Rhinolophus ferrumequinum: one gene and its partners. The protein of the gene in region 1 purifies or fractionates together with the protein of each later gene. This does not show direct contact. Links are inferred from orthologs where the notes say so. Each region holds a gene or a part of one and is shown in the gene's direction. Other genes may lie near its edges.

Region 1 (7,483 bases):
GTAGCTGCAGTTCCAGACTTCAATCCATATTTTAATTACCAAGTCTATATTTAGCAAGACAATGTGGGAAAAATAAAAAGGAAGGAAGGGATGGGTGGTGAGAGGGCCTCCCGGGCGCTGACCCACTTTCTGCACTGACTGCAGAGCGCTGCAGTCCTGGCCACGAGTTCCTGGCCTTGTGCCCTTCGGAAGCCCCGACCAGCATCAAAGGAGGTACTTAAGCAGCTCCGGCTCTGTGGCAGCTGCCGACCCCATCAAAAAGACACATGTCATCAGCACTGTTCTTTAATTGTCCTCCACTCCGCAGCTGGGGAAGACGGGGCTGGCCCAGGATTTCAGGTGGGGTCAGTGTGAGTGCAGGGTCACCGCGACGGCCTTGGTTGTGGCATTGAGCACGACAGCTGATAGCCTCGCAGCAGGGAGCACGGCAGGGATCTCTCTGGGAACCCTCTGCATGGGTGGGATGTTGGGACCCTCCAGGGTGTCCAGGATCCCTGCGAGGGAGATGGAAGGTGAGCGTGAGCTGGCGGGGCACCGCCCTCGGCAGCGGTGGCCCCCTCCCCGCACCCCAGCCTCCTGGCACTTACCCTCCACCACCTTGTGGTAGGCAAAATGCAGATAGAGCAGGAAGAGCATGTGCAGGGCAGCCAGGGTGCCACAGAGGAGCAGCCGCTGCGTGGGGCCCACAGTCCGTGACACCAACACTGCCACCTAGGACCACAGGAATACAGCTCAGGGGGCCTGGCTCCAGTGTGGGGAAGCCACTCCTCCCTAGAGCAGAACCATCTTTGGGCTCTGGCGTCCCACTCAGAGCCCTTTGTGGGGTTTTGCCTGCACTAGGGGCTGCTGCCCCCACCTCCCCAGGAGGACAGCCCCTGCCCATCTTACCATGCGCAGGGTGGATAGCCCCCCCACCAGCAGCCAGAAGAGGTAGAAGAGGGCGTGGAGGTGGATGTTATAGGTGACGAACAGGACGATGCAGTGCCCGAAAAGGCCATAGCCCTAGGGAGGAGGATGGTGGAGAGGAAAACCATTCAGGCCGGGCTGGCCTCTGGACCCTCACGGAGACCCTGAGAAACAAACGGTCGAGCGGCCCGCTTACTCCATTCCCAGCCCTGGGGCCGCAGCACAGATGCAAACCAAGGCCTGGCTCCTCTTGTAAGACCACCCTTGCCCACCACCGTGCTGGACTCCTTACCAGCAGCGCCAGCGTCTGCAGCATGGTGATCTGGGCGTTGCACAGGTAGGCGAGGAAGTAAATGAAGGACGAGACACCCAGCCAGTAGCCGAAACAGGTGCCAATGGCTGTGCCCATCAGGGTGCCCTCCCGCTGTGGGGGGAAGGCTGTGCTTAGTCCTGGGAGGCCAATGGCCTCAACCTCACCCAGGGCCGTCCTCAGGGCTGCTTCTAACTCGCTCCACCACCGTCTCTTTGGGCCGCTTTCAACTCAGTTCAGCCACCCCCCAGCCCTTCAAAGTCCTCTGTCCTGCTTACGATAATGGTGTCAGATGTCTTCATCCCGTGGAGGAGGATGGCAACCAGTGTGAAGACCAGCATGAGAGGTCCGTAGAGCTCACCTGCGATTTTCTGTCAATATACCAACTCATTCAGGCTGGACGGTACAATGGCTCTTCTGTTGATTTCTCCCCAGGCTTTGTCTGGTGGCCCCACCCTCTGACCGGTGCCTCCCCCCGGCTCTTCTAGTCATGCCACCCCCTATTCACCTGGGGGAAGTTGACCATCTTGATGGGGATCATGGACTCCAGGAGCCTGGGAGAGGAGAGGAGAGGAGAGATGAGCGCAGAGGCAGCACGAGGCTATGAGGTTCTCAAGGGCCTGAATCTCACTCACTTCTCTAACTCCAGAGAACATGCTGGATGGTACAGGGAGAATGAGGAGATCACTTCCTTGCCCCTAAAAATACTTCCAGGAAGGGCAACCCTTTGATGCTGTACTGACAGCTGCAGCAGCAATATGAACTCAGGGAGCCCCGCTGGGCCTTGGGAAAGGGCTTGACAATTTACATATGTGACGTGCTCCCCTCTAAAAGGCAAACTTCAGCAGAGAATGCCCAGAATTCCACACTGTAATAGTGCAGGTTACTTGAGGGAACCAGTGTGCCTCCTGCCTCTGTCTGCTTACAATTGCCCCAGGCACTGTCGAGCATTTTCTTAAAATACATTTGAAGTGGTGTGAAAATTCCAGGCAGAAGGAATACAAGTACGAGTACAAGCCACTTCCCCGTTCTCTTAAGTGGCTAGTTCCTAAAAATACCTTTGAATTTGGCTGGATTTTACCCTCCTCTGTGAAACCTGCCCTGTTCCACCTCAAGCCTACTCTAGGGTCAAGAGTCCCTTCTATGTGTCCCTTCATAGCAAATGAGTGCTACACTGTAATTACACTTGAGAGCAAAGCTCTCATCTGGCTTCACCACTAAATCAGACACAGCTAGTAGAGTACCTGGCACAGAGCAAAAGCTTAGTAAGTACTTGCTGAGTACACTGGGTATTTGGTAAGCAAGACTTATGCAAGTATGAACAAAGAAGCAAGCCAAAATTAATTCCAGTTTTTGAAATCATTCAACAACTATGTACCAATATTCTGATTCAGAGGTTCTTCTGGTGCTTGGAATGAAAAGATAAACAAAACAGAGCCTGCTTTTGAAGTGGTCTCTGGGGAGACAGACTCAAGAATAAGAAAGTACAGCCGTGCTGAAGTGTTATTTATTAGGGGAAAGCGCAGAGCAATACGGGAGCACCAGGAAAGGACAAACCAGGGATGAGGCTGAGGAATGGGGAACAAAGGAAGCGACATTTGAGCTAGGTTTTGACGAAAGATGAGTAGCTTACTAGATGGACAAGAGGAAGAAGGCAGTGTGTTATCAGCATGTCCCGTTCTGGGATTGAGAGGAGGAATGGCGTGGCTGGGGTACGGGTACAACGATGAAGGCTGCTGGTGTCATGAAGACGGGTGTCTAAGGACTTGGTCTCTGTCCTCTGAAGGACTAGGTGTGAGGAGGGCAGCTTCCGTCAGGAGAAGGGTCCTCACCTGCTTCGCACCTGGGCAGGCTCCACATCAAAGTAGGGTCTCAGGATGTCGATGTTGGCATACAAGCTGAAGGCCCTGGAGGCTTGTCTCTTTCCTGCCTGCCACATCTGAAGAAAGAGGACGGGCGGGGTGGGTGGCTAGTGTGAGACTCTTGGCTCTCAGCCCTGTTGCTGATTTTCTGTTGGATTTCTACATGGTTCTAACTGGACAACCTGGGGTGACTGACCGTCATCAACACCAACTCCAGAACCTGGGGCCTCCTAGGTGTTTTTTTCCACCTGCCAGGCATCCAGTCTTGCTTACCTGATCAGCCACCTGCCGGCTCAGCTGTCCCTTAAAGCCCTTCATGCCCAGGAACTCCCCATCCTCTTCTTCAGCAGCGGCTGCATCAGCATCGACTTCTTCCTCGCGCAGACGCTGATGCAGCTCACCCATATCCTCGAAGCTGGAGCCTGACGTATCATCCATGTTCTCCATGTCAATCACAGCTGAACCCCCACCCTGTGAAGACAATAGCTCCTCGTGTGCAGGACCTTTCTGCTCCATCCATTAAGTGTTTCTCTGTTCCTCCCAGGACTTGGGGCTTTGTCCTTCCACTGAGGGGGATATGGCCCGGAATCACCATAGATGGTGCCACTCTTCTCCTCATTTGCTCTCAAAATCTTTCTTGTTTGGCTCTCTTTTCTAGCCTGGGAAAGTACTCCCTACCTTTCATACATGTCTTCCTCCTACCTTCCCTACCAAAGTCTCAAAGGGCTACAAATGTGCCCAGTTCCTTTGTCTCTCCCAACCCCCATGCAAGGTTGTGCACACAGTATGGTTTTAGCCAGTGCATTACTCCCCCACCCGCTGCCATGCCTGACCCCGACCGACCTCCTAATTTGTCCCGAAAGCAAGAGCGGGTCGGCCCAGAGAGCGAGGCCCTCTGACTGGAGTACAAGTCTGGCCTTTTCTGGTCATCACTGGTCCCACTGACTTTCGTGTGTGCTCGAAGAGCCAAAGGAGAGAACCAGTGCTGCAAATGGAGCAGACTTCCAGGCCCCGAGGGAGAGTCCCCACGACACTTCTGGACGACTGCCGACCCTGGGGCAGCTGGCAGCTGAAGCCTTGGGGCCATTACCTGGATGTTTTCTTCGAACCCTCCCCATTCTGGGCCAGCCCCGTTTCGGGAGCCGCCGGCCGGCGCCGCCGTAGTTGCCATGTCCCTCGAGGGCTCCCGTCGCGGAAGCCTGCCCTAGCCCCGCTCGTGGAGGAGTGGGAGAGACGTAGGCCTGAAGAAAGGAGAGGTCCAGGGGCAAAAGGGAGGCGGGATCAGCCGGAATGCAAAAAGGAGAAACCCGGATGTTTGGCCAAAACTAACTTCCGGAAGCTGGGGACGTGGACGGAGACAGGGCAGAATCTCGCGATATTTAACCTTGAAGGCGGCGGGGCGTTGCCACGGAGACGGAGGAGGGCGATTAGAACGCAAGCGCCAGTTGCTACCCTAGTCACGTGGAGGGGTTGAAGATGGCGGCGCCCCAGGCAGTGGAGGAAATGCGGGGCCGCGTGGTTCTCGGGGAGTTCGGGGTTCGCAATGTAAGCCTTGCGGTCTTGAGCTCGGGAGGAGAAATGAGAGTGGAACAGGGATGAGTTGGGATCGGAGTGGGGACGGGCTTGGCCTCGCTGCCCCTTCGCGGACAGACTCTTCTCTGCTCTAGGTTCATACCACCGACTTTCCCGGTAACTATTCCGGCTATGATGATGCTTGGGACCAGGACCGCTTCGAGAAGGTGGGTGGAGCCGGAGGTGTCCGGAGAGGGTATGAGGATCGGACCGTGTGATCTGAGCAGCCTGTGCCTCAGAAGCTGTCCTTGGGTTTCGCTCCGTTCCTAAAACGTTTATTGAGCACTGTGTTAGGCGCTCCGTGTACACGGTTTCTGCTCTGGTCTGCGAACAAACTCAGTCTTGTTGGGGAAGAGCGCGCGTAAGCAAATGATTCCAGTATAATGTGGTAAAGGCGGTTGATAGCACTAAGGATGACCGGAGGTGGGTCGGGGGCTGTCCCATTCCGCAGAGGCACTTAATCTAGAATGGGGAGGAGGGCAGAAGTAAAGTGGGTCAGCATGAGTGGTAGGCAAGATTGAGTAAAGTGTGTCTTAGACACTAGGTGACAGAGCAAAGGGGAGATAAAAGGTAGGTTTAGTGATTGCTTTGTATCAGCCGTGAGGGGAGACTGTCAAATGACGCAGCTTGGGGAACTGCTTTGATGGATGGTGGTGTCATTTATTGATGAGAACTGGGGCTGGGGAATGATGATGATACATGCTTTCAGTTTCCTTCAGGTGGAGAAGTCTAGCAGGCTAGTAGAATATATGTTTGAATTGAGGTCAGAAGTGAGATATAATTTGGGGAGCTGTCAATAGAGATAGTTGCTAAAACCATGAGTGTGGTTGAGGTCACTCTGGAGAGAAAACTTGGGAAATAGGTTTGGGAAAGCAAAAACTTGGGAAATCGTAATATTTATGGAGTAGGTGGAAGACAATGAATTTGGAAGGATTGATCAGAGAAGGGAGAGAACCAGAAGATTGGTGCTCAGAAATCAAGGCAACAGAGTTTGAAAAAGGAGGGATCCTATCAACAATGCCAGATACAACAGAGGAATGTAATAAGGATCGAGTAGTGTCTATTGGACTAAGCAGTGTGGAAGCGTGTTCTTTAGCACAGTAGCCTTTGCGGATGGTCTGGCTGGAAGCCGTACTGCAGAGGATTGTAAATGAATGGAAGATGAAAACAGGGAGACTTTTAAAAAGAAACTCATAAAGGAGGACTTGGAACATCTAATGAGGGCCATCTGGGCAAAGGGAGGTTTTTGGATGAGACAGAATGTTAATACCTTGAGGGGAATATCGGAGGGTGGGGGGGGGGCCCGCAGGTATTGACTATACAGAGAGCAAGCATCATTTAGTGTTTTTCTTGTCCCTTTAGAATTTCCGCGTGGATGTGGTACACCTGGATGAAAACTCATTGGAGTTTGACATGGTGGGGATCGATGCAGCCATTGCCAATGCTTTCCGACGCATCCTGTTGGCTGAGGTATTGGTGGGTCTGGCGACGGGGTAGAGTTGCACGGGGAATCCATGCCATTGACCTCGCTTGTAGAATTGTGTCAAGGTTTATTTTTCCTGCCGTTTTGCTGAGCATTCCTCTTGCTCATTTGTAAACTTCTAATCAAGGCTTCTTCTAGGAAGAGGTCTCTCCCTATCTCTGTCAGCCGGCGGGGAATAGATGCGGAGTCTTTAAGGTCTTTGTAGATGAGTGGTTCTGTTTTGTTGGGCAGGTGCCAACCATGGCTGTGGAAAAAGTCCTGGTGTACAACAACACATCCATTGTGCAGGATGAGATCCTCGCCCATCGCTTGGGGCTCATTCCCATCCATGCCGATCCCCGTCTTTTTGAATATCGGAACCAAGGTGAGGGTTTGAGAAAATGAAATTTGGGGGAAAAGGGAGCAGCTCTCCTCCGCAGAGTAGATTCTAGAATCAGACTGCCTGTATTCAAATCCTGGATTGACTACTACAAGACCTTAGGCAAGTGACCAATCTTTTGGTACATCATTCTTTTTATCCATGAGAACCCCTGCCCTTGCCTTACTAAATTTGTCCAGGATTACAGGAGAAATTGAATGCATTCAGCATGGCGCGCAAATATTCACTAGTCCTTTAAGAGCTGCCACCTCCTCCCTTTGTGCAGGAGATGAAGAAGGCACCGAGATAGACACGCTGCAGTTTCGGCTGCAAGTCAGGTGCACTCGGAACCCCCATGCTGCTAAAGATTCCTCTGACCCCAATGAACTCTATGTGAACCACAAAGGTGCGTGTTGATTGGTAGGGTAAGGAAGAGGGCCCATCTGGTGGTGGGTGCCGGTTTTAGGGACTGGGGTCTTCTTGATGTGCTTCTCCCTCCAGTGTACACCAGACACATGACGTGGGTCCCCCTGGGGAACCAGGCTGACCTCTTCCCGGAGGGCACTATCCGACCAGTGCATGACGACATCCTCATTGCGCAGCTGCGGCCTGGCCAGGAGATCGACCTACTCATGCACTGTGTCAAGGGCATTGGTGAGAACCCTGGGGGCTGCCCTGGCGAGGAAGGTAGTTCCCATCCAGTGGCGTGAGGTGTGACTGAGGGACTCAGCTAAGATGTGATGGGCAGAAAGCCAGTGGGCCTTTGGGAACGTGAAGAAGGGTTTTCCCACAGGCGCTGTTTTCCCTCTAGGCAAAGATCATGCCAAATTTTCACCTGTGGCAACAGCCAGTTACAGGCTCCTGCCGGACATCACCTTGCTCGAGCCCGTGGAAGGGGAGGCCGCTGAGGAGCTGCGCCGGTGCTTCTCACCGGGTGTTATTGAAGTGCATGAAGTCCACGGTACGGTATTTGGTCAGGTCAGGACCTAAAG
Region 2 (7,599 bases), on another chromosome or scaffold:
TGCGGGACCTGGAGAAGCTGGCGGGCTGGCACCGAATCGCCATCATTTACCTGCTGAGTGGCGTCACCGGGAACCTAGCCAGTGCCATTTTCCTGCCGTACCGGGCAGAGGTGAGGATGGGTGCCAGCCTGGGAGCGTGTCCCCTCGGGCCCTTGATCCTGCTGTGCTCCAGGCCACGGGAGGCGGGATGAGGGGACGAGGCTGTGGGTCCGGGGGTCCCACTCGGCCCGCACTGCCTGTCCCCCCAGGTGGGCCCGGCCGGCTCGCAGTTCGGCATCCTGGCGTGCCTCTTCGTGGAGCTCTTCCAGAGCTGGCAGATCCTGGCCCGGCCCTGGCGCGCCTTCTTCAAGCTGCTGGCGGTGGTGCTCTTCCTGTTCACATTTGGGCTGCTGCCCTGGATCGACAACTTCGCCCACATCTCGGGCTTCGTCAGCGGCCTCTTCCTGTCCTTCGCCTTCTTGCCCTACGTCAGCTTCGGCAGGTTCGACCTGTACCGCAAGCGCTGCCAGATCCTCATCTTCCAGGCCGTGTTCCTGGGCCTGCTGGCCGGCCTGGTGGTCCTCTTCTACTTCTACCCCGTGCGCTGTGAGTGGTGTGAGTTCCTCACCTGCATCCCCTTCACCGACAAGTTCTGCGAGAAGTACGAGCTGGACGCCCAGCTCCACTGAGCTGCTGGCCACTGGGGCCACCTGCTCCCGGGCGCCGTCCACCCCGAGCCTTGCAGGCCACGGACGGGGCTGCCTGAGCCCCGTGTGGGGTTCTCAGGCCACGGACGGGGCTGCCTGAGCCCCGTGTGGGGTCCGTAGGCCACGGACAGGGCTGCCTGAGCCCTGTGTGGGGTCCGCCCGCGTCTTGGACACAGACCTCTTGTGCCTTGTTCACTGCTGTTGACCCTCTCGTACTTCTGGGCATTTATTACACTAGTTCCCGTGATTCCCTTCTAACTAGTCTCTTGACGACCACCTCAGGTGGCCAATAAATGGACTGGGAGCGTTTTAGCTGCCACTAACTTGACCAGAGCTGCCTTCTGCTTTCTCGTTCCTGGCTGGGGGCTGTGGCGGGACGTTCCTCTCACTCACAATTCCCCAGACAAGGAACGAAGTATACAAAACACCTCCCAGGGAAGTCCCTCAGCCAGGTTGCACCCCCTGCCCCCAGCTCCCTTCCTAGTTACCGGTAGCCACAATGGGATACAGACCCAGGGATGTGCTGTCATTTCTCCCCCCCACACACACTGAGAAGCGCCCTCCCTGCTCAGCCAGCAGTTCCAGCTGCTGCCCCAGGCCCCTCCATTTCCGGGAGCCAGGGGATGGCACCGCTGTACAGTCCTGCGGGCCAAGGCGGGAGGCCCTGCCGACGGCTGTGCTCTCACACACAGGCCCGTTTGTTTCTGCACAAGTAGAAGAGAAAGCCAGCTGCGTGTGGGGGACACACATTTATTTCCTCCTGGCCGTGGGGGACACAGTAATGGTCAGGTGGCCTCCGCAGCCCTCAGGACGCACCGGCCCCATTCTCTGCCCTTGCCTCCTGGGATGCCGCAGTGCCCGTCCCTCCTGCCGGGACCGTGGCTTGTGGACTTTTCCAGGTCAGAAGCAGAGAGGTTTATGCTGTACTCAGGGCCTGGCCCACAGCCCTGTGGCATCTGCCACGAGATGAGGGTGTTTGGGCTCAGGGAGGGGTCAAGCTCAGGTCACGAGCACTGGCTCGTCAGGTCCTAGTCCTGAGGGCCCAGGCTTCAGACAAGTCCACCTGTGCTCACTTTGACATTCTCCTGTGACAAGGGGACAGTGGCCCGAAGCTGCTTCCTGCTGGGCAGAGCTTGTCACCGGCACAGTTGTCCTCGTCCAGGGGTTCATTTTTGCCTCAGCTTTTTGATGAAAGACACCTCGTCCCGATTCCGGATACCATAACTGAAAGAGAAGGAAAGGTGTCAAGTGTCTGATCTCCAGAAGGGTACATCCAGGACTCCTCACCTGAGGCTGGTGAAAAACCAAGAAAGAACAGGTGGGAAGAGTGTGGCATCCAGGAGGGGGCAGTGGCCACACGTACCAGGGGGCAGCCTTTCACCTCCATGCACTCTTTCTCCCCTCTTCTGCCTCTGTGCTGCCCTGAACTGCCACTGGTGAGAAGCAGTAGGGCCCCTCACCCCTCTCCTCCACCCGCATTCTCCTCGTGGGGGCCCCCAGCGGGAGGCGTCAGCACAGCCAGGGTCCTCTGTAGGTCTCACAGAGTCCTCAGGAACTGACTGAGGATCCCTCCTTCCTGGGAGGGGGCCCCAGCCGTCTGGCAGAGCATGTGTAACCAGACGGCACCGCCCAAATGCCTGCCTGTAGCTCAACATGTGGCCTGGACTTACTCTCGGAGCTTCTTCCTGTCCTCTGTGAGCTTCTCTCCTGCAGAGGTCAGATGGTACGTTCTCCACACGTAGGGCCTGCAAGGTAGGGTTTCAGGTAAACCGTGAGCAGGGTGAGTGGAGCAGCTGGGATGCAGACGCTGTGACTGAGAGCGGCTCACGGTGCTCAGCTCTGTGGGCCCGGGGCAGCCGGCCGCCTCTTCTGGGCTGTTTCCTGTACACTGTGCACTGTGCCTGAGGCGGCTACAAGGAGGCCCGGCTCTATGAGGGCCGTGTGGGCCATGCAAGGGAGGAGAAGAACATCCAGGAGAAGTCCTGGATGTACCGTCTGTAACTAGGAGACCACTTCTGGACACATCACACATGCCCTAAGGTGTCCCTAAGTACAGATACCAGCTGCCTAGGTGGGGTGATGCAGATGAAAGAGCAGGTGATGCAGGACTCCCAGGCACAGAAGCACCTGCCCTGTCTGAAAGCTCCGGGCAGGGAGCGCATCACTTTAGTCAGTACTTTGTAACAGGGCTCAGTGACTAAAAAGCACACGGAGTCCTGTGGAGTCCCAGTCCAGCTCCCAGGAGGGGATGCAAAGAGCCTTGGCGCCACTTACCAGCTGATGTGTTGAATGCCGCCTTCCCGCTCCTGCCTGAGCTGCACGTATCTCTGGATGGCTTTCTTCAGGTCCAGGACTGTGGCATTCTGTACCACGACCACAGCTGCAACCAGGGACACAAAAGGGAGAAGATCCATGGTGGGAAGCCCCAGCCACAGCCTCAGGTGGGGGGAGAGGAACCCAGAAGCCCTGTCAAGCCTTGTTTCTGACCGAGGCTCAAATCTGGGTGGGTGGGCTTGTGGTTGCCCCAACACCCATGGGCATGGCCCCTGAGTGTCCCACTGACCAGCCCCTGTGAAAGCTCAGATTGCACGGCCTGAAGGGAGGAGGGCAGCACTTACGCATGACTTCTCCATCCATCTTGCACACTCGGACTGTCATTGCTTGGCCATACTCTAGGGCTATTTGGGAATTGACCTCTTCCAAAGTAACCTAGAAAAGACCAAGGGGGGAGGTGGGAGCCCTGGCTTTACCACCCCAAAACGACAACAAAGAAAAACAAGGTGGTACTGTCCAAAGAGTGGTGCAACGTTATATGAAAGATGAGAAAGGGAAAGGGTTCTTACTTATATATCAGGGTTTCCCAGTCCAGCACCTCAATCTCATGTGCCACCCACATTTCCCATTTAAAGTCCAAAGCGGACAGAGGCTCTGGAGAAAGGAGCACAGGAACAGGCAAGAAGGATGGATCCTTTCATCCAGGGGCTGGGTAGGAAGAAGAACCCTGGGCCTGCCCGTGCGTTCTGGGAGCCTCTGATCACCAGGATCCAAGCCCGGGCCTCTGGAGAAGGTTGAGGCACGTGTGCGATGATACACGTTGCCAATACAACTTTTAAGAAAATACAAGTTAACTTGAAAACTCCATGATGGACCAAAGAATACTGAAGCTTGAGAAGGGAAAAAACCGGCACTAACGATCTCGTCCTTCTTTTGTTGGCGATAGGTTTTACACCAACTTTGTGTTATGAACGTATTAAAATATTATTTTATTTATTTATTTATTTATTTATTGATTGATTTATTTATTTTGGCGCTTCTTTAATTTCCGCGCCCCACGGGAGAGCCCCGCTCGCCCCGCCCCAGGCTCGGCCCTGGTTAAGACCCTCATTTACGCCCAGAGGTGCCTTCCTGAGGCCTTTGGGCCACAGCCCCCATCAGCACCGCGCGGGATCCACACCCGACGAACGTCCCGGCGGGGCACGACGCCTGCACCCTGCCCGCGCGCACCTGGATCGGGAGATCGCAGAGCAGTGGGTCCTGCACCACCATGGCGAGACCCTCCTGGAACACGTCCACCGCCTCGGAGTGCGGCAGCGCCTCCTCTTCGTCCTCATCGTCGTCCTGCGCCTCGGGCTGTGCCGCCGCCTCCGCCGCCTCCAGGGCGCCTCGCTGCCGAGCGCGCTCCGCCCGCACCGTCCGTCTGCAAGACCGAGGCGCGGCGCTTTCGCCCGCGGAGCAAAACCCGCAGTCAGTTCCGACATTAGGGCGTCGATTGGCTGCCGCGAGGACCAATGAGAAGTGCGAGATGGCCTGCCGCGGTGCTCGCTGGGAGCGCGACATCGGCGTGTCTATTGGTGGGCTAAGGTGGCCAGGACCAATAGGAGCTCGAGGCGGGCGGGCATAGTGTCGGCTCCTGGGCGGCCGCGGGGGCTGCCGGGAGCCTGCGGGGCTGAGTCCGCCGTCATGCTGCTTTTCTGCCCCGGCTGCGGGAACGGGCTGATCGTGGAGGAGGGACAGCGCTGCCACCGTTTCGCCTGCAACACCTGCCCCTACGTGCACAACATCACCCGCAAGGTGGGTCCTGGAGCCCGGCGTCGGGCCCCCGCAGGCCTCCCGCTTCCTCCGGCTGTGCTCCACCCCTGTCAGGACGCAAGGTGGAGGCCCTGGCCGTGGTCACCGCCGAGGCCACAGCGGTCCTTGTAACGCCGAAGTCAGATCGAGTCCGTCTTGCGCTCGGTAACGCTCAGCAGTTCGCCAGCGTGAAATGTGCTCGCGGGGCAGACCGAGCGTTGACACCACGCCCCTCCCCCCAGCCTTGCTTTTCTGATGTCAGAAAAGGGGCTCTTTTGCCCCAGAAACACCAGCCTCTTGGAGGATCCCCCCTGATGGACGTGGCATTACTAGCAGCGCCTTTGCCCACGTTTCCTGTCCGGTCCAGACTTCCCCTAAGACAGCCGTGCCACTCTTTTGTCACGTCGTCACTTAAATCATCACTCAGTGTAAAATTGCAGCCCTTCCGTTTTATCCTCTTTCCCGGTTTTGGTTTTTCTCTAGGACTCCTTACCTTCTAATAACACGGTATAATTTACTTACGTGCTTTGTTTACCGAAGCCGAGACCTAAGCTGTAGGAGGGCAGGGCTCTTTCTGTTTTGTTCCCTCTTGTGTGCTAGTCGGAACGCCGAGGATGGAACTGAGGATGTGGAGGTGTTCACTGCGGTGAATTGTGCTCACGGTGTTAGGACTCGGTATTTTCCCCTTGATCTTTTGTGGGGACAGAGCCCCAAAAAGCAGTTTCCAGGCTCTCGGCCTCACATAGCAAGGTGCTGGCTCAGGTAGTAAATGGCCATCGACTGATCAAATGGCCATCAGCTGTGGCTAGTTGGCCGTCAGCTGTAACCAGTGAGCCATTGGGCACTAATATAACTGCCGTGGCTAGGCTAACAGAAATGGGGGCTAGCGAGAAGATGGTGGCTGAGCCAGCAAGTGGAGCAGTGAGGGTTGAGACTTGTGTTGCTCCTGGTTTCCTGTGTCTCCAACCCAGCCGCCAGTGAGAATATAGTGGTGTGACTCCCCTACCTATGGCTCCGTGGGTGTTCCTTTTTGGCCTCACTATGTCCTGCGTTCTTATGTGGGGAGTGGGACCAGAGACCCCGCCTGACACCCTGCACGACATCTTTACTCTTTAGAAGTAGAGCCCCTTGGGGCCACCCCGTTCTGAGTGTTTGTGTACTGCACCATATTGCTGTGTTGTGGGAGTTTAGAGTCTGGATCTATGAGAAGAGTGAACTCTTACGTAAGCCTGACATTTCAAGGATGTCGGGTAAAACTTGGGAAAGAAACTGAGTGCTTTGAAAGCTCTCTGCCTGCGGGGAGCGGCTGGGCTCCCCAGCTGGTACTCTTTGGCTTCAGGTGTATTTGTTTCTCACATCTTGGGTTAGGCGGTGGTATCTTAGAGATATGGGCGTAGAGGAGGGTCACACCTAAGCCATCGTGTCTTCCTGCTCTGGTGTTTCATTCAATCCTTGCAGAGATCTTCTCTGACGGCTGAATCTCTCTCTTCTCTTGTGGGGGCATCCCAATCGTAGGTTCTTTAAATTCCAGTGGTGCGTCCTGCTCTGTGGTAGCGGGAACACTGTTTTCGTTTAGTCTCCCTGCTGGCTGGGAGGAAGACAGTCTGGGAAGACACTTGAGGGCAGCTGTGGAGGTGTGGTTTGGTGGCCCACGGTTGCACTGTTCACTGACTTGGAGAGTCTGAAGGCTTGCTGTTGTTTGTTAGGTAACAAATCGGAAGTATCCAAAGCTCAAAGAAGTGGATGATGTGCTTGGTGGAGCAGCTGCCTGGGAGAATGTTGACTCTACTGCAGGTAAGAGGGAAAGCCTTCTGTAACTGAGCGGTGGGTAAGTATGAAGCCACTGGCTGCTGCTCCGTGGCAGTCGGTGATGTATTTAGAAAGTGTGTTTGCGCTTTAAGAACTTACTTGTTAACTCCAATGATATTGGCACAAGCCTTGGAGTCGTGCAGTCCTGAGTTAAAGTCTCGGGGTGACTTCTTACTGTTTTATGACCTTGCTGGGGTCCCTGAAGCGCTCCAGGGCTAATCCACACTCATAGGTTGTGAGAGCACCCAAGTGAGTTATAGTGTTTCGCATATAACAGGCAATTCTACAGGCGGTAGCTACGATAGCTACAAGGTCAGGAATAATACAAATCAGAGTCGCGGGAAATAAATGTGGTGGTCTTGTTCTCATGCGGCGTGTTAAACGTTAATACCAGAGAGCACCTAACTGCAGTCTCAGTAAAATAAATGTTTCTTTCAAGTCTTGATTCGTTTCTGATAGACATAGATGTGACCAAGGAAGGGCAGAGCAGAGCCCTAGACAACCTGCGCCGAGGGGAGGAACAGCGAAGTAAGATTAGTGCCATTGCTCTGCCTCTCTGGACCGGTACCCAGATCCGCCACGTGAACAATTTAGCAAAGGCAGAAGTTGTCATTAAAAGCTAAGTTATGCCCCGAATGTCCAAAATGGTGTTTGAGAATTTTTGAAGGTGTTTCCATCAAGAGCAGGGTTAGTGTCGCAAAGTAAAAACCTTTGAAGGTAAATGTGTCCTGGGGTCCTCGGAAAAGGTACGTATGTGTGGTGAGATCTTGATAAAAGCAGCCTGAGGAGCTACTGCCAAATAGACCCCTAAATACTCGGGGAAGCCGATTGGTCAGCCCTTGGCAGCTCCTCTGGGAAGAAGAGAGGGCGTCTCCACGTCCCAGGTGATGGAGATGAATTTGTTAGGGGAAGTCTGCACGGCGTGGGCCCCGTAATTCACACAGCAGCCGTGTTACGTTTCCAACCAGTCTTCTACCAGGTTTGAGAAAAACAGTGAGAAAAAACAGTTTGAGAAAAACAGGGCGGGGAGGAGAGT
Region 3 (6,886 bases), on another chromosome or scaffold:
GTACCTGCTACTGCTAATTCCTTTTAAGGCTCCTGCAGTGCAAACTGGATTGGCTCTTGATTTCCCATTGCTGGAATAGGATAAAACTGCTAACTCAGTTGTCACCTGCCCAGCATCCCAAAGAGTTCGTCAGTCAATGTGGATTTATACTTAAAATGAACAAACCACGGTCCCTTTACAGTAGTCTTAATGGGGTTTTGGAAGGGAGTCAAATTAGATATATTTGCTCATTTTGCTACCTTTCTGGAATCTATTTTTTTTTTTTTTTTAATGTCCCCAAATGATTCAAGTCCACCTGAAACAACTGCTTTATCCTATTGGTGACACTGGGCAAACTGTTTAAACATGCCTAATAGGAGCCAAAATGCCTGCACTTCATTCATATCACTTGAATATTGTGAAAATAGGCAAAATGTGTGCCCATTCAAGAAGAATGTGCTCTATCAATCTAAGGTTTATCACAATCTTCTTAGAGGAAGATACTATTTCACAGGTAGTAGGACAAGTTGTTTTCCATCAAAGATGATGCATTGGGTGATGATTTCTCCTTGTCCTCTTTGTCCCTCATTTACAAGTCATCTTTTGGGTTACAGTGCATATATTTATGCTTCTCTAACACAGGTAATCATCAATTCACCTAAATGAAATTTAATGACTTCAACCTCCATGTTCTAACCAAAGCAATGAAGCTTCTACGCTGTTCGGTATGTGCTGCTGATGTGTGTGTGTGTGACTGTGTATGAATTTTAATATAAATATCTTATATCTCCTTCCAGGCATCAGGATTATGATGATAGCAAGTTAGTAGACCACACCATTCAGAAGAGATGATAAGAAAATTAATATTCTCGAGAAAAGTGGAAATTAGATACTCCTTGACAGAGTGAGGCATCCAGTTCCCAGTGAAAAACAACTTTTGATTTAACACAGTATTATCACCTTCAAAGTGTCTGGTAAATATTAAGCTTTCTTTTCATACCTTCAAAGGCTTAAAGCACCAAACAGGTAGCTTGCAGGCCCCTTGCAGCTCCAAAATGCTTTAATTATAATTATAAGGCTATAATTCTAGCAGCAACTTGGATTTTGGAAACCTGGATTCTATTCCCAGCTCTTTCCCAAAGTGGCAGTGTAATCTCAGGTATGATATTGAGGCCTGCTTAGACTGTTCATCTAGGAAACATCAATTCCTATCACTGTTTCACCATTGATTTCCTATTGCTGGCAGAGAGAAAAAGTAAATAAACCAAAAAGTAATTTATTCGTGTAGACAATTTAAATATATTTTAAATAATAATGTAAACATTTCTTGTGGAATGACAGAAAATATTTATTCTGAATACCCGTCAACTACATGGAAATCTTACCTCTAAAAGTATCAGTTCTATCAAGATATACAGTAATTAAAAGTATATTTAATGTAAATGTACTTTTTTCCTCTCAAATTGTTAGGTAATATAAGATTCCCCTCTCAACCAGTTTTTTTTTAACCCTTAGATTTAAATTTTAAATGGAAAGACTTTGGATAGGGTGTGAGATATAGAATCTTGCTTTATATTTTTTATATCTCAAGTGATCAGAATCTCACCTGTAAGATAAACTGATTTTCGTAAAATATTTCATTATTTGTCATATTGGTTGGTCATAAAGTGAGAGTATTACATAGCAGTAGCTGGATTTTGCTACCTCTTCGAAGAATATTTTAATAAATTAAATTGGCAATTAAAATGGTTTCAAGATAGAGTGGGAAAAGGGGGTTTCACATCCTACTTGGAATTACCATAATATAGTTATGCAGTAGGATTTTTGTATGATCTGCATGCTTTGACATATTGTGCCTTGGTTCAAATCTTAGCTTTTGTCATTATTAACCACCTCACTTCAAATATTGAGAGAATAAAATGAAATCAACGAAAGTATTCTAAAAAGAAAAAAGGAAATTAATATACAAATATTGCTTCTCTGTCCAATTAGCTGAATTATTTAAGTGCCTGCATAGTGTTCGGAGGACAGGGGCCCTACTCGTATTTTGTTCCATTAGTTTCTCTCTGAACCCTATTCTATGTTACATGGGGTCTAAGAAGCCCAGGGCTACCGATGCATTAGTCCACATACTTAACCATCACCTGCAATAATCTCCGTGTTAATCTTTCCCAGGCCTTGCTTTCAACCAGACCAGATATCTATCAAAATGTAAGACTCAGACATATTCTACTTTTTATGTACCCTACCTGGCTCTTTCTCTGGTGAGGCAACATCAAGAACAGAAATCTATCTGGAAGATAAAGATGCAAGAGCAGATGGCAACCACTGTTCTCTAATGGCTTTCTAAACCTACAGGTGGGAATTGCTCATAGCCGGCGGTCACTGAGCAGATGAAGTCAGCAATTCGCAAAAGCAGAGAGCATGACATGCACTCTCCTTGAGGCGTCATTCCTTAAAAGTCTTCTCTCTAGAAAAGCGCCTGGAAATGTCTGACAGGTGTACGGGAAAAGAACGGGAAATTCCTAGTCACGAGTCTCTGCGGCGTTACTACTACACCTCGCAGAGGAAACGGACAAGGGGGTGGGGCCGGCTTTCATTCGAGTACTCAGCTTTGCTACACCGTGCCAGAGCTAGTCTCAGGTAGGGAAGGCTGCGATGGCCTTGGCTCTGGTCGAGTGTCAGTGCAGGTAGAAACAAAAGTGGTGTTTCTGAAATGTAGCAAAACAAGCCCCCTCACAGCCACGCACATCTGCAACATGCATCCCTCGGACAGTTTCTTCCCAACCCCCTCCCGTAATGAGAGAGCGCGCGCCCGTGAGGGCCCATTACCATCCTGCAGGATGAGGGTGGGCTGTACCGCCTGCACTCGGAATTGCCTGGCCCTCCAGCCGGGGCTGGGCGCCCGTACCACCTCACTATCGGACAACCAGGTCACGGTCTCAAAGTTGTCCCCGCGAGCCAGTGCCTCGGCCTCGGCGTGGTGCACGGCCACCCGGTCGAACTGGTAGAGACCACCGGAGTGGTCGAAGTGCACGTGGGTGGCCACCGCCAGCAGCGGCCGGCACGCCGCGTCCTCCTTGGCCCCGCCGTCCTGCAAGAGGCCGGAGGAGTACAGGTATTCCGGAAGGCTGCGCAGCCCCAGGCCCGTGTCGATCACCACGTCCTGCTCGGAGCCGCGCACCAGCCAGATGTTGGCACGGTTGCCAGACTCATAGAAGCGTTCCTGAATCCAGAAGATGCCGTCGCCCAGGGACTTGTGGGCGTACCACTCGAGCGCCGACATGCTGGGAAGAGGTGCAGGAGGGGTGAGTGTGGGCGTGTGTGCCTCCCGCAGGCTGTCCAGACTCCGGGCGCTGCGGCGGCGTGGAGCGGTCTGCCGGCAGCCAGGGAGGTGGCGCAGAGCAAGGAGGGGGAGGGGGATGCGGGTGGTGCAGGGGGTGCGGGGGATGCGGGGTGTAGAATTAGGAGGAAGGAGGCACCTAGACACTGCCTGTCGTGGTCGCTTTACTCCCACGACAGGTCCGCAGAAAGCAGAGGTTGTTCTGCCCGCCCCCGGGCGCTGGAGGAATCGCAGCCTCTGTAGCCGCAGCACAGGAAGGCGTTAACGCTTGGACCACTGGAGACCTACAAGGCGACCCTTCCCCAACCTGGGGGCGTCTAACTGCAGAGGCCGGGAGCTAGTCGTAGAAGGCACCAGATCCGCCCACCCACCGTGCGCCGCTATGCGCACTTCCAGCCCGCGCAGAGTCAGACCTTGCGGGTTGGACAGCTACGGCGCCTGCCAAGGGATAAAAAGCTCTTCGCCCAGCGGGCGGGGCCTAGCTAGGAAGTGGGCGGGGCTAACTGGTTGGGTTCCGAATTGGGCTCCGAGGCCTCGGGGAGGGCGGAGCGCGCTTCTCCAGAGGTGGAAACTGCGCCGGGCGCCGGCGCGTTCTGTCCGCACCCCTTCCTTGCCGGCCGGCGCTTCGGCTGCACAGTTTTGCCCAAGCCTCCGAGACTTAGTGAGCAGGTAACAGAGGAAGCAATTGAGGGCTGGGAAGGAGATGGAGAGGGTAGAGGGGAATTAAAGGGGCACATGGAAAGGTGGGGGAAGTCGGGTGGAAATTCATTGACGCGCTTCTCGGTTGAGGTGCGTTGAGAGATAGCTTTACCTCCCCTTCCAATCCCTTCAAAATCTTTTAAAATCATCGTTTCCATATCTTACCTAGTCGCCACTTCCTGGGACTGTTTGCAGTGAGTTAGAAAGGAATTAGTGCTCTTACTGATTGATGGTAGATTTTCAAATCCGGTGACTATACGATTGGTTCAGGCATGAATCATTGCCGCAGGCTTGCAGCTAAGGACAGACTATTCTGTATGTTTTCGTAATTGTTGGCACTTTATCCTGTATCATGGAGAGTGGGGTTGTCAATGAAGTTTTTTTCCTCTTCTGAAAAATTAAATTCTATATTCTTTCTCCACCCTCCTTTTTTAAGTTTATCCGCTCTTGGAAGAGAGCAAAGAGAGTTGATAGGCTCAACTAAGAAAAGTGGAGGCAGCCACACCTTGTGAAAATAAAAAAAAAGTGAATAATAACTGGGTGTGGCCCGCCAGCCACATAAATCACCCTCAGTATTAAAGCCAGGCCCCTTTCTCCACTCCGCACCTCTCAACTATTGAAATACCATTTAGGCTGCAGAAATCCCCTTGAGAACTTGACTAACCTCCCTACTCAGCCAGGAAAAATTTTATAGACTCATGAGACAGCATTATAAAAGAATTATGAAAAACCCTTATTGTGGCAGCTTACTAGTAAGCCTTCATACAAGGAGATGTGTACTCTCCTCCCCTAAGCTCCTAAAGTTTTTGGTGGGGACGCAGCCTTTCTGAATATATTCCTAACTTAGACTTTTTCCAGTCACTCTGTTCAGGGCTACCCTTAGTGCAAGTCCTAGAGCTAGATGTGTAAAGAACAGAATTGTGTAAAAAGATCATAATCTGGGTTCTCAAGAATTTGAGGGAAGACAGTGGGGGATATAAAATTTCTATTAATACAGTCGAAGAAAGAGACAAACGAGTGAAACTTCTTCCTTTTGGAAAAGGCCTATTTCCCAAAAGGGGAATACCTGTGTTCCAGAATTGATGAGTGTAGTAATACATATCACCTGGAGTTTTAAGAATCCATTTATTTTAACAGGAGGATCTTACCAAGAGCAAGGAGGGATGAAATGACTCTTGCTGATGTTGAGCAACTTAAACTGCATCTATAAGGTTAAAAAAGGGGCGCAGCCAGGCAGGGCAGAAGGGGAGTAGGTGCAGTGGAGAGAATCATGGTCAGGACATGATTACAGAAGAATGAGTCAGGAGGATAGGTGCAGCCATCTTAAAAGGGCTCTGAATATTTGGATAGGGAGTTTGGATTTAATTCTCTAGCCTAGAGGCAAAATAGGGAGAATAATATATAATCAGAATTATGCTTTAGGATGAATATTTTGGAAGAATAAATTAAAACAAACAGGAAGAACAAGGGATATTACAAAATTTGCAGTTAATCAAAGTGAGGTGGGAAAGAGCTAAGCTGGATTATGGTAGAAGAAATAGAAAGGAAGGGACATTTTGAAGGAAGAATTAGATGATGGATTTGATAGTAGGGGTGGAACAGAATGAGAAATCGGTACTGAGTCACTCCAAATGTTCACATGTTGGTGTCTGGGAAAATAACATACCATGGGTAGAAATAGGGACCTTATATATGAAAGGTAAGCTAGTTAGTGTAGGGGGAAGATGAACTCAATATTTTAAGTTTAAGGTACTGTCCAAATATTTTTCTGATAGTAAGAGCATGTGCTGAAACTCTGGATAAAGGTCATTGCTGGAGGTAATGGAGAGGGAGAGGTCATCAAACCCCAAGAGTGGGTGCATTTCTGAAGAGCAGGAGACCAAAGATCGGACTTTAAGGATATCCATACTTAGGGGGTTTAAGAAGAGAAGTAGACCAAAAAAAGTGTTCATTGGGGTAGGAGAACTGGAGTTTTATTAAAGCCTAGGAAAGAGAGTTTCAAAAGAGAGAAGGCAGTAATCAGATGTGCAGTTCAGAAGTCCAAGAACATGAATGAGGACAAAAGGCCAGTGGATTTTGCCATGAGGACCATTGTGACCTTTGCATTTCTGAATCTCCGTGAGTGCAGTTCCCATCATAAGTAAGATAAAAGCCAAACCCTTTACCACAGCTCCCACAGGGCTCCACAAGCTCTGACCTTGACCAGCCTCTCCCCACTCCTCACCAGCTACATGGGCTTCTTGTTCTTCAGACACTCCCAGAGCTGTGGCTTCCTCCTCTGCACTTGCTGTTGCTTCTCTCTGTAATCATCTCCACCCCATCCATCCATCTTACGGCTCCCAGGCTTACTCCAGCACAGTGCTCAGATTTATCCTCCACAAAAAGACCTTTCTTTTATGCAAAAGCCACTACCATACTCCTTTGTTATCCCTTTACCATGATTTGTTTTCTTTCCATAGCTGTATTGATTTCCTAGAGCTGCCCTAACATGTTACCACAAATCGGATGGCTTAAAACAACAGAAATTAATTCTTACGCTTCTAGAAGCCAGAAGTCTGAAATCAAGATGTCAGCAGGTGTGTTCCTTTTGGAGGCTCTGTGGGAGATGCTGTTCTATACTTCTCTCCTAGCTTTTGGTGGTTCCTGGCACTCTTTGGTGTTCCAGGCTTGCAGCTGCAGCACTCTAATCTCTGCCTCCATCTTCACATGGTGTTTTCACTGTGTGTTTCTCTCTTTCTATTCAGATTTCCCTTTTATAAGGATACCAGTGATTGGAAGAGGGCTCATCTTAATCCACTATGACTCCATCTTAATTCGATTACTTATGCAAAGACTTTTTCCAAATAAGGAAGGTCACATACAGCT
Region 4 (7,604 bases), on another chromosome or scaffold:
TCAATGGTATCTTGAGTATCCTTCCAAATATATTTTATATCCATACAGGCATATATGTCCATATTATTTCCCCCACTCTTTTTATACAAATGGTGGCATATCATATCCTGTTCCATACATTTTTTTTATTAACAATATGGATTTTATTCTATATTTGTACATAAAGAGCATCCTCATTCTGTGTTATGGCTGAATTGTATTCTCTCTTTATGTAGATTTAACCTATCCCCTACAGACGGACATCTAAATGTTTTCCTTTTCTGTTTCTTTCTTTTTTTTTTCTTTGCCATTACAAGCATTATAATAAACTTGCAAAGAGTTATTTTTATAAGTACATCTGTAAAATATGTAGAACTAGTACTGTTGAGTTAAAGATATGTGTATTTGTAATTTTGGTTAATATTGCCAAACTTCCCTCCATGGATGCTGAAACAATTTACACTGCTACCAGCAATGCATCAAAGTGACTGTTTACAAACAATCTCATCCATATCGTGTGTTATCAATTTTTCTTTTGTTTTTGCCAATCTCCTACATTAAAAAAAGAGGTATCTTGCAGTTTTAACTTACATTTCTTACATTTTGAGTGATTCATTCATTCCTTCAACAAATATTTACCAAGTACATATTGTGTGGCAGATACTATTGTAGGCACGGGGAATACACCAGTAACTCCTTGTTCTAATGGAGCTTCTGTTTTAGGAAGGACATACAAACAGTAAAGTAGACATACAAAAAGCAAAAATTATATATTTTCTGTTGAGTTGGTGATTAAATGCAATGGAGTGAAGAAAGCAGGGGATAAGGTCTGCTCAGCAAGCAGATAAAGGGGTAGTTAGAACTGTATTCTCATATGATTAAAAGACATTTATATTTCCTTTCCTATAAAATGTCCTTTCACATCCTTTGTCCATTTTTCCATTGGGTTATTATTCTGTTTGTCACTGAATTGTAGAACCTCTTATTTATTAGACATTTTAAATGTTAAAGAATTTGGATACCCTCTCATTCATATCATCATTTGTCAATAACCATCCAACATCTAAGAATCATGGGCAAATATATGAAAATTTGTATTTTGCTCTGAGAATTTTAAAAAATATTAGCTTTTAAGATAAAGGAGACAGGGTATAATGTAATATATTCTTAGTTTGAACTCTCAGTCTACGAAGCATAGTGGTTGTAACATAACTAGAGATAAATAATTTTCACACATATCAGTTATTAAAGTATGTAACTGGAATCTCAAAGTCTGTTTCAAACAAGTATTTATTCATGCTTTATCTATAAAACTTTCCTTCCTTCTTATGTTATGTATAAGTACATAAAGGTGTGTGTGTACACGTACACACACACACACACACACACACACACACACTTCTGGCATTAGTAGGGAATTCATTCACTGATTTATTTCTGTAATAATAGCTAAGATATATTTTGTCATTACTATATGCTAGACCCTGTGTACCTCACATCAACTCATTTAATCCTTACAATGGTTCTAAATAGTAGATATTATCACTAACTTACAATGAGCAAACTGAGACTCAGAAAGGCTACGTAATGTACCAAAGATCACCAGAAGTTGTCAAAGCCAGGATTCATTTTCCAACCTGTCTGACTGGAAAGCCTGTATAAGTACATCAAATTTATTATCCCAGCAAAATAATGAGCATCCTCATTATTGGGATGGTACCAGGCATCTTATCTTGGTGAAGGTGAGTCAAGGCATTGCTGCAACTATGGACCTATACAAATGAAAGGGTGATCAAAGCTAATTGTTTCACTCTAAATACACACCACTCTACAAACCACCAAGTAACACTGTTTCAAATTTTGGAAGTTTTAAAAACTTCCAAAGGTCCTGATTATAGAAAACACGCAAAGAGGTAAATCAACAACCAGATGAACATAAAGAGTATGGCAATATTATTTTAAACGATTTCGAGTACTTTTGATTCTTACCTGATTTCATTTCCAAAAGTGTATTGTTATCAATTTCATGGTTGGCTTTTCCAGGCTGAGGCACTCGCAGTGGTATGATCTGAGGAACACACACTGAACCAGCAGTCATTTTCCCTGCTTATATTTTTAAAACGTGTATGAAAATAAATTCCAATGGCCACCTATATTTCAACACAAAAGCTGAAGAGAAACACCTTGTTTACAAAAATATAGTAAAACTAGAAAAAGCTAAAGAGAATACTGTTAATATATCACCTACAAATATTATTCAATTTTTAATTGAAATAATTATTGTTTCAGCTGTATTTTTGCTGTTGAGATCTTGTGTGTTGTTTTGATTATCTAAATACTTACTTCTGTGAAAAGAGCATGGATGAATGGGATGGGGGAATGGAATTATTTTAAATGGCCAAATTAAATGAATATATTAGAACAGAGACCTTCACTAATGATCTCATCAGAGCTTCCTCTGGATCATTATTATTACACTTTCCTGACTCTTATTTATCTCCCACCTCTCTTGGCTTCAGGGCAAGTCATCACACAGGAAAAACAGAAGTAACACTGTATGTACCCTGTTTTCCCAAAAATAAGATCTAGCCGGACCATCAGCTCTAATGCATCTTTTGGAGCAAAAATTAATATATGACCCAGTATTATATTATATTATATATTAAGTTATATTATATCATATCATATCTTATCATGTTATATTATATTATATATAAGGTATTATATTATATAAGACTCAGTCTTATAGTAAAATAAGACCAGGTTTTACATTAATTTTTGTCCCAAAAGACTCATTAGAGCTGGTCCGGCTAGGTCTTATTTTCGGTGAAACACAGTAGCATGTAGTATGTTCATTTAGAGCCAAGTCCTTTGAGAAAGCTCCAGGTTCAGGGTCCTGCAGTTGTAGCCAAGTACTTACATTTGTTACCTGCAAAGAAACTTTAGGAGGATGGCAGATTATCACACCTCAGCAGAAAGGAAGTTGGTACCAACATAAACAGTGAGCAACAGGTAACAAAAGTCTCCCACTCCATCTACTATATTTATAAATAATTAAGTATGAGTGTGGAGATCTTACTGATCTTTTTCCTGAGAGGTGTCATAATTTTTAATACCTAAAGGATTCAGAGGGAAAAAAATAACCCTCACCTTAATACAGCAACCATTTACATCTCTAAATAGCCTTTTCAAATTATGAATACATGTCTTGCTCATTTATAATCTATATATTCATTCTTTTTTTACAGTCTAGTTATTGCACCCTCGCTCTATTATTATTTGCAATTTTTCTGTTATTTACAATTTTCCACCTACTCATATAATCTTATTTATCAATATGTGGTTGGGCATTTAACATATAACTAGTTTCTTTTTAGTTTTGGTTGTTACAATTCCAAATAACGATGCTCTTGTGGCGTGAGTTTTGTCACAGGCTGTATTCCCAAAACTGGGATAACTAAATTTAAGGAGTGATCTTAATGCCTGGTTATATAGCTCCAGGTCAGAGGCCAAGAATTTGAACTGCAAATACTGATAGAGCACTAGCCCCTACAGAAGGGTGGCTGGTTTAGGGAGGCTTGTCAGTCCTCACTTTCCATTTATGTGAGAGGCAGTTAAAGTAGTTCAAAATCAGTTCAAAGTAAAAATAGTTGAGGAGGAAGTAATTCGCGCGCGGCAACTAGGAGCTGCCCTTGGGAGGCTGGGACGGCGAATGGGCCCCAAGCGAAGAGGATCAAGAAGGAGACCAATCCGCTAGGCCCAAATGGAGGGTAGGATAAACAGCACCTCCAAACCCCAACAACATTGCCTGCTTGCCACCGGATCCAAATCTGGAGCCCCGTCTGGTCTGCGTACCCGCCCATCAGGAGCAGCCAGAAACACCTGCTTCCTTTCGGCTGGAGTGAGGAATGCCCTCCTCCTCCTCTGGCTACCGGAACCCAGATTGTAACCCCTAAGGCGCCTCCGCCACTGGCAGCCAGTAAACCCACCTCTCACTGCCTCTTGCCTTCTCCTTTGCCACGGTCTGGGTTACCACAGACGCGGGGAGCTGCGCCCCGCCCACTGAGTTGGGCAGATGATTGGCGGAAATCCGGCTTCCTAGCAACCAGATCCGCCCTGCTGTTTGGCTAGGAGAGGGGAATCCGCCTGAATCTCCTTTCCTAAGGTTTCAACATAGGCATCCAAGAATATGCCTTCACAGAGATTGGAAAGTGCTAAAAAGTGGCGTTCCAATTCAGAATGATGGAACCAGGCTCGTTCGTCTGACAGACACTGACATTCTGGTAAAAAAGAATAAGGTGTAGCGGCTCCAGCCAGTGACGAGTAACAGGCGTGGCTTGGGCACCTCAAGCCCACAGGCAAGGAAGGACCGTCTGCGACACGAGGAAAAAGACCCATCGCCCGCGCCTGAAGCTGTCTTTGCCGATTTTCTGGATCCCCAGCTCGCTATCTGGCTGCTCCGTGCGTCTCTTTTCCCCCGAGGTGGGAACTGCGTCCCATGGCTGAAGTGAAGGTGAAAATGCAGCCGCCTGACGCAGATCCAGTCGAAATAGAAAACAGGTAAATCAGTGAGATTCGATTCCCGGCTCGGGAGCCCACGCAGGCAGGCGGTCATTTGGGCAGACTTTTTTCGGGACAGTCAGTAGATGCTGGAGCAAGTTCAGTGAGCGTCCAGGAAGGGGATTACCGGATCTGAACACCTTCCACCTGTGGACAGCAGAACTCTTAATAAGTTTAAAACGAGCTTGACACTTTGCAACTTTGTGTCGGTGTCCGGATGCTGTTCGGAAGTTGTGATGATGCGCTTCCTTCCTGCGTTAAGGTGGTCGACGCTCAGAGAAAACTCGGTGTTTCTGCGTGGTGCTTGAGGATACGTGTTCTCATACAGGATTGCCTTTATCGCTATGGGAACTGTCAGGACAGAACGTTTGGGCGAAGTTAGAGTGCATTAGTGATTACGAAGCAACATTAATCCAAAAATAATTTCGGGGCAGTATTTAAGTCAAGATTTTAGGGCACGTCAAATGTTATATTCCTGATGTTATATTCTCTATGAGTGCACTGCTATTTTTAGGTTTACCACATAGTTTGAAAAGATCCCAACTTCCTCAAACTTATGAATAACATACATGATGATCCTGTGACAGAGGGAAGATAATGGGCTTATTTTTGTTTGGTGGGAATAATTCCAAAACCACGCCCCAATTGTGAATTGTTATAACCAATTTTGGCTTCCCACCAGAAATGTCTGATATGACTCCTGCTTGCAGACTTATACCTGCCCAATGCTGTATCTTAATTTTGTCATACTTATTGCATCTTAAAAAATTGAAGCCGCAGCGTTAATATCTTTTTCTGTGTTTTCATTTGACTTTTATTCTAATTTAAAGATTATGTTAATGAGGAAAACATATTTTCCTTAAATAACAATAATAATGTAAACGTATTTCAAAAACATCTTCCTCAATTTCTAACATGCGTTGATTTAGAACCATCATAGAAGCCAGACTATGTACCAAATGTAAAAAGGACACAATTTCAAATTGTTCTGCTAGTATTTGCCCCCACTGTCTCTTGAAATAAGTAAAAACATGAGTAATATCATTAATATCTTTGTTCGTAGGATTATAGAATTATGTCACCAGTTCCCTCATGGAATCACAGACCAAGTAATTCAGAATGAAATGCCTCATATAGAAGCCCAGCAGCGGGCAGTGGCCATCAATAGACTTTTGTCCATGGTAAGATGAATCCAACTAGTTCATGTAATTACTTATATATTACGATTGTCTTTACTTCTGTTATTAGTCATGAAAACGTTAGAAGGTTGTGACTGATAAGATTCTAAACCAGGAAACAACTCAGACTGCCAGAACTGAGCAAAGAAGAAGTAATTATGCATTATTTTACAAGATGAATGAAATAAATGTATTTTGTTTTCACTGTTGTATTTGTTAACATAATTGTCGCTAAGATACCTAAAGGCACATAGGCATAGTCTGTTCTCATCTTCTGTTTTCTTCCTACTGCTGATATTGGGCCTTTCCATACGAAATACATTCCCCTGATTTTTCTGTGAGTCATCACAAAGCCAGCTCATTAGGGTATCACTCTTACAATCTCAGTGAGCATTTCTAGAAGCGAGAATGAGTCCCGTTGAATATCAACAGTGCTGGGCCTTTGGGTGGAAGTGCAGGCTCAGCCCCGAGTGACACTTTAGATGGGATTATCAATGAAGCCCTTGTACCTGCTCTTACCTCTTCTGTTATACCTGCTCTTATATATCAGGGGGATATATTTCGTATACCTGCTCTTATCTCTTCCTGGGGCCCTAATGTCATTCTCTACTGTCTAAAAACACCCCACCTGTTAGTGTGCCACATGCTCTTACCTATTTCTCCTACTTCCTTTCACCCATCATCAAAACTCCCATATCTTGAGAGCATTTCAGTTTGTCTTAGTAGCAACTAGGTAAAAGATTTCTATACTGAGGACTCATCTGAAAGCTTATTTGCTTTTTAAATCTACCAGCTTTGTTGGATTTCTGGATCCAAGGGCTCTGGATATGGAGGTGTGAGGACAGGTGAACTTTCTGTCAAACTGTTTTTTCCAACCTTCTAGCTCAGGGTGGCAAACTTTTTCTATAAAGCGCCAGATAGTATATGTTTTAGGCTTTGTAAACTATATGGTTTCTGTCATAAGTACTCAACTCTTCAGGAAAGTAGCTATGGGCCACCCATATAAACAAATGGGTGTGGCTGGGTTCCAATAAAACTTTACTTATGAAAACAAGCAGTGGGCCAGATTGCCGACCCCAGTTTTAGCATAAGGAAAAAAGGACTGATGGTGATTTCTAGGTAGTTCACCATGGTGAAGGTCTTCAAATCTAGGAGGATAGAGGAAGGGATGCTGGGAGGTTGTGGAAATGGAAAATGCTTTTGTCCTCTGACCACCCTTTCAGCCTTTTCTTTTCTGTCTGAAAATCGTCCTCAGCAACTCCCTCTCTTTCATCACCTTAGTGACCCCACCTACTGCCAGTTCGATTGACTATAGGCAATAGGTAGTAGTGGAGCTATTGAAGAATTTTAAGCAAGGAGTAATTATTAATAAATCACAAAGTATTACTGATTTTAGCTCTTAAACAAGTCTCAAATTTGTCCACCTATTTCCATTCCTATTACCCCTTCATGTGTTTAGGCTCTTGGCTTTTACCTGGACTATTACAGTGCATCCTAAGTAGTTTTCCCGGCTCCATCTATCTCAGAGCAGCCAGCCTGATCTGTCTTTAGATACAGATCTAACCAAGTCACTTTCTCAACAAAAACCCTCTCAACACTAGAGATGCAATTCCAAACTCATGGGCTGACTACACTGAGCCCCTACCAACCTCACCCACCTCATCTTCCATCATTTCAGAGGGAACAGATTGTTTTTGGTTCCCTGCCACATCATGCTGTTTCATGTCTCAGGTCCTTTGCTGATGCTCTCTTCCCTGCTTAGAAAGCCCTTCTTCCCATTCGCAGACTAACTCCTCATTGTCCTTCAAGACTCTGCTCTGCTGTTGTCTCCAGGAAGCCTCCCTAAATCCCCAGGTTGGGCCAGAGCTTCTTCTCTAAGAGCCCATC

What was found.
Region 2: the proteins of POLR1C (region 1) and POLR3K purify together in Homo sapiens (affinity purification with mass spectrometry; 4 studies listed by BioGRID and IntAct, counting the BioPlex papers as one, with this or other methods). This does not show direct contact. The link is inferred for Rhinolophus ferrumequinum from reciprocal best matches to the Homo sapiens genes POLR1C and POLR3K.
Region 3: the proteins of POLR1C (region 1) and POLR3G purify together in Homo sapiens (affinity purification with mass spectrometry; 4 studies listed by BioGRID and IntAct, counting the BioPlex papers as one, with this or other methods). This does not show direct contact. The link is inferred for Rhinolophus ferrumequinum from reciprocal best matches to the Homo sapiens genes POLR1C and POLR3G.
Region 4: the proteins of POLR1C (region 1) and POLR3F purify together in Homo sapiens (affinity purification with mass spectrometry; 4 studies listed by BioGRID and IntAct, counting the BioPlex papers as one, with this or other methods). This does not show direct contact. The link is inferred for Rhinolophus ferrumequinum from reciprocal best matches to the Homo sapiens genes POLR1C and POLR3F.

The regions. Positions count from the first base shown.
Region 1 is NC_046286.1:12,846,948-12,854,430, forward strand, and holds the start of POLR1C (DNA-directed RNA polymerases I and III subunit RPAC1), read left to right. Parts: upstream 1-4,476; 5' UTR 4,477-4,554; coding exon 4,555-4,623; intron 4,624-4,745; coding exon 4,746-4,817; intron 4,818-6,012; coding exon 6,013-6,120; intron 6,121-6,364; coding exon 6,365-6,497; intron 6,498-6,777; coding exon 6,778-6,897; intron 6,898-6,992; coding exon 6,993-7,145; intron 7,146-7,302; coding exon 7,303-7,452; intron 7,453-7,483. Other genes in the region: protein YIPF3, read right to left, coding at 346-494, 588-711, 889-1,002, 1,199-1,330, 1,495-1,587, 1,725-1,770, 3,049-3,155, 3,352-3,549 and 1 more. UniProt on the Homo sapiens protein: DNA-dependent RNA polymerase catalyzes the transcription of DNA into RNA using the four ribonucleoside triphosphates as substrates.
Region 2 is NW_022680357.1:2,145,612-2,153,210, reverse strand, and holds the start of POLR3K (DNA-directed RNA polymerase III subunit RPC10), read left to right. Parts: upstream 1-4,598; 5' UTR 4,599-4,646; coding exon 4,647-4,757; intron 4,758-6,460; coding exon 6,461-6,548; intron 6,549-7,599. Other genes in the region: RHBDF1 (inactive rhomboid protein 1), read left to right, coding at 1-110, 249-668; SNRNP25 (U11/U12 small nuclear ribonucleoprotein 25 kDa protein), read right to left, coding at 1,853-1,910, 2,357-2,431, 2,961-3,066, 3,305-3,395, 4,191-4,232. UniProt on the Homo sapiens protein: Core component of RNA polymerase III (Pol III) which synthesizes small non-coding RNAs using the four ribonucleoside triphosphates as substrates. Can mediate Pol I proofreading of the nascent RNA transcript.
Region 3 is NC_046290.1:59,272,606-59,279,491, forward strand, and holds the start of POLR3G (DNA-directed RNA polymerase III subunit RPC7), read left to right. Parts: upstream 1-3,870; 5' UTR 3,871-3,991; intron 3,992-6,886. Other genes in the region: acyl-coenzyme A thioesterase MBLAC2, read right to left, coding at 2,812-3,265. UniProt on the Homo sapiens protein: DNA-dependent RNA polymerase catalyzes the transcription of DNA into RNA using the four ribonucleoside triphosphates as substrates.
Region 4 is NC_046306.1:38,710,916-38,718,519, forward strand, and holds the start of POLR3F (DNA-directed RNA polymerase III subunit RPC6), read left to right. Parts: upstream 1-4,596; 5' UTR 4,597-4,756; coding exon 4,757-4,887; intron 4,888-5,602; coding exon 5,603-5,720; intron 5,721-7,604. Other genes in the region: DZANK1 (double zinc ribbon and ankyrin repeat-containing protein 1), read right to left, coding at 1,969-2,077. UniProt on the Homo sapiens protein: DNA-dependent RNA polymerase catalyzes the transcription of DNA into RNA using the four ribonucleoside triphosphates as substrates.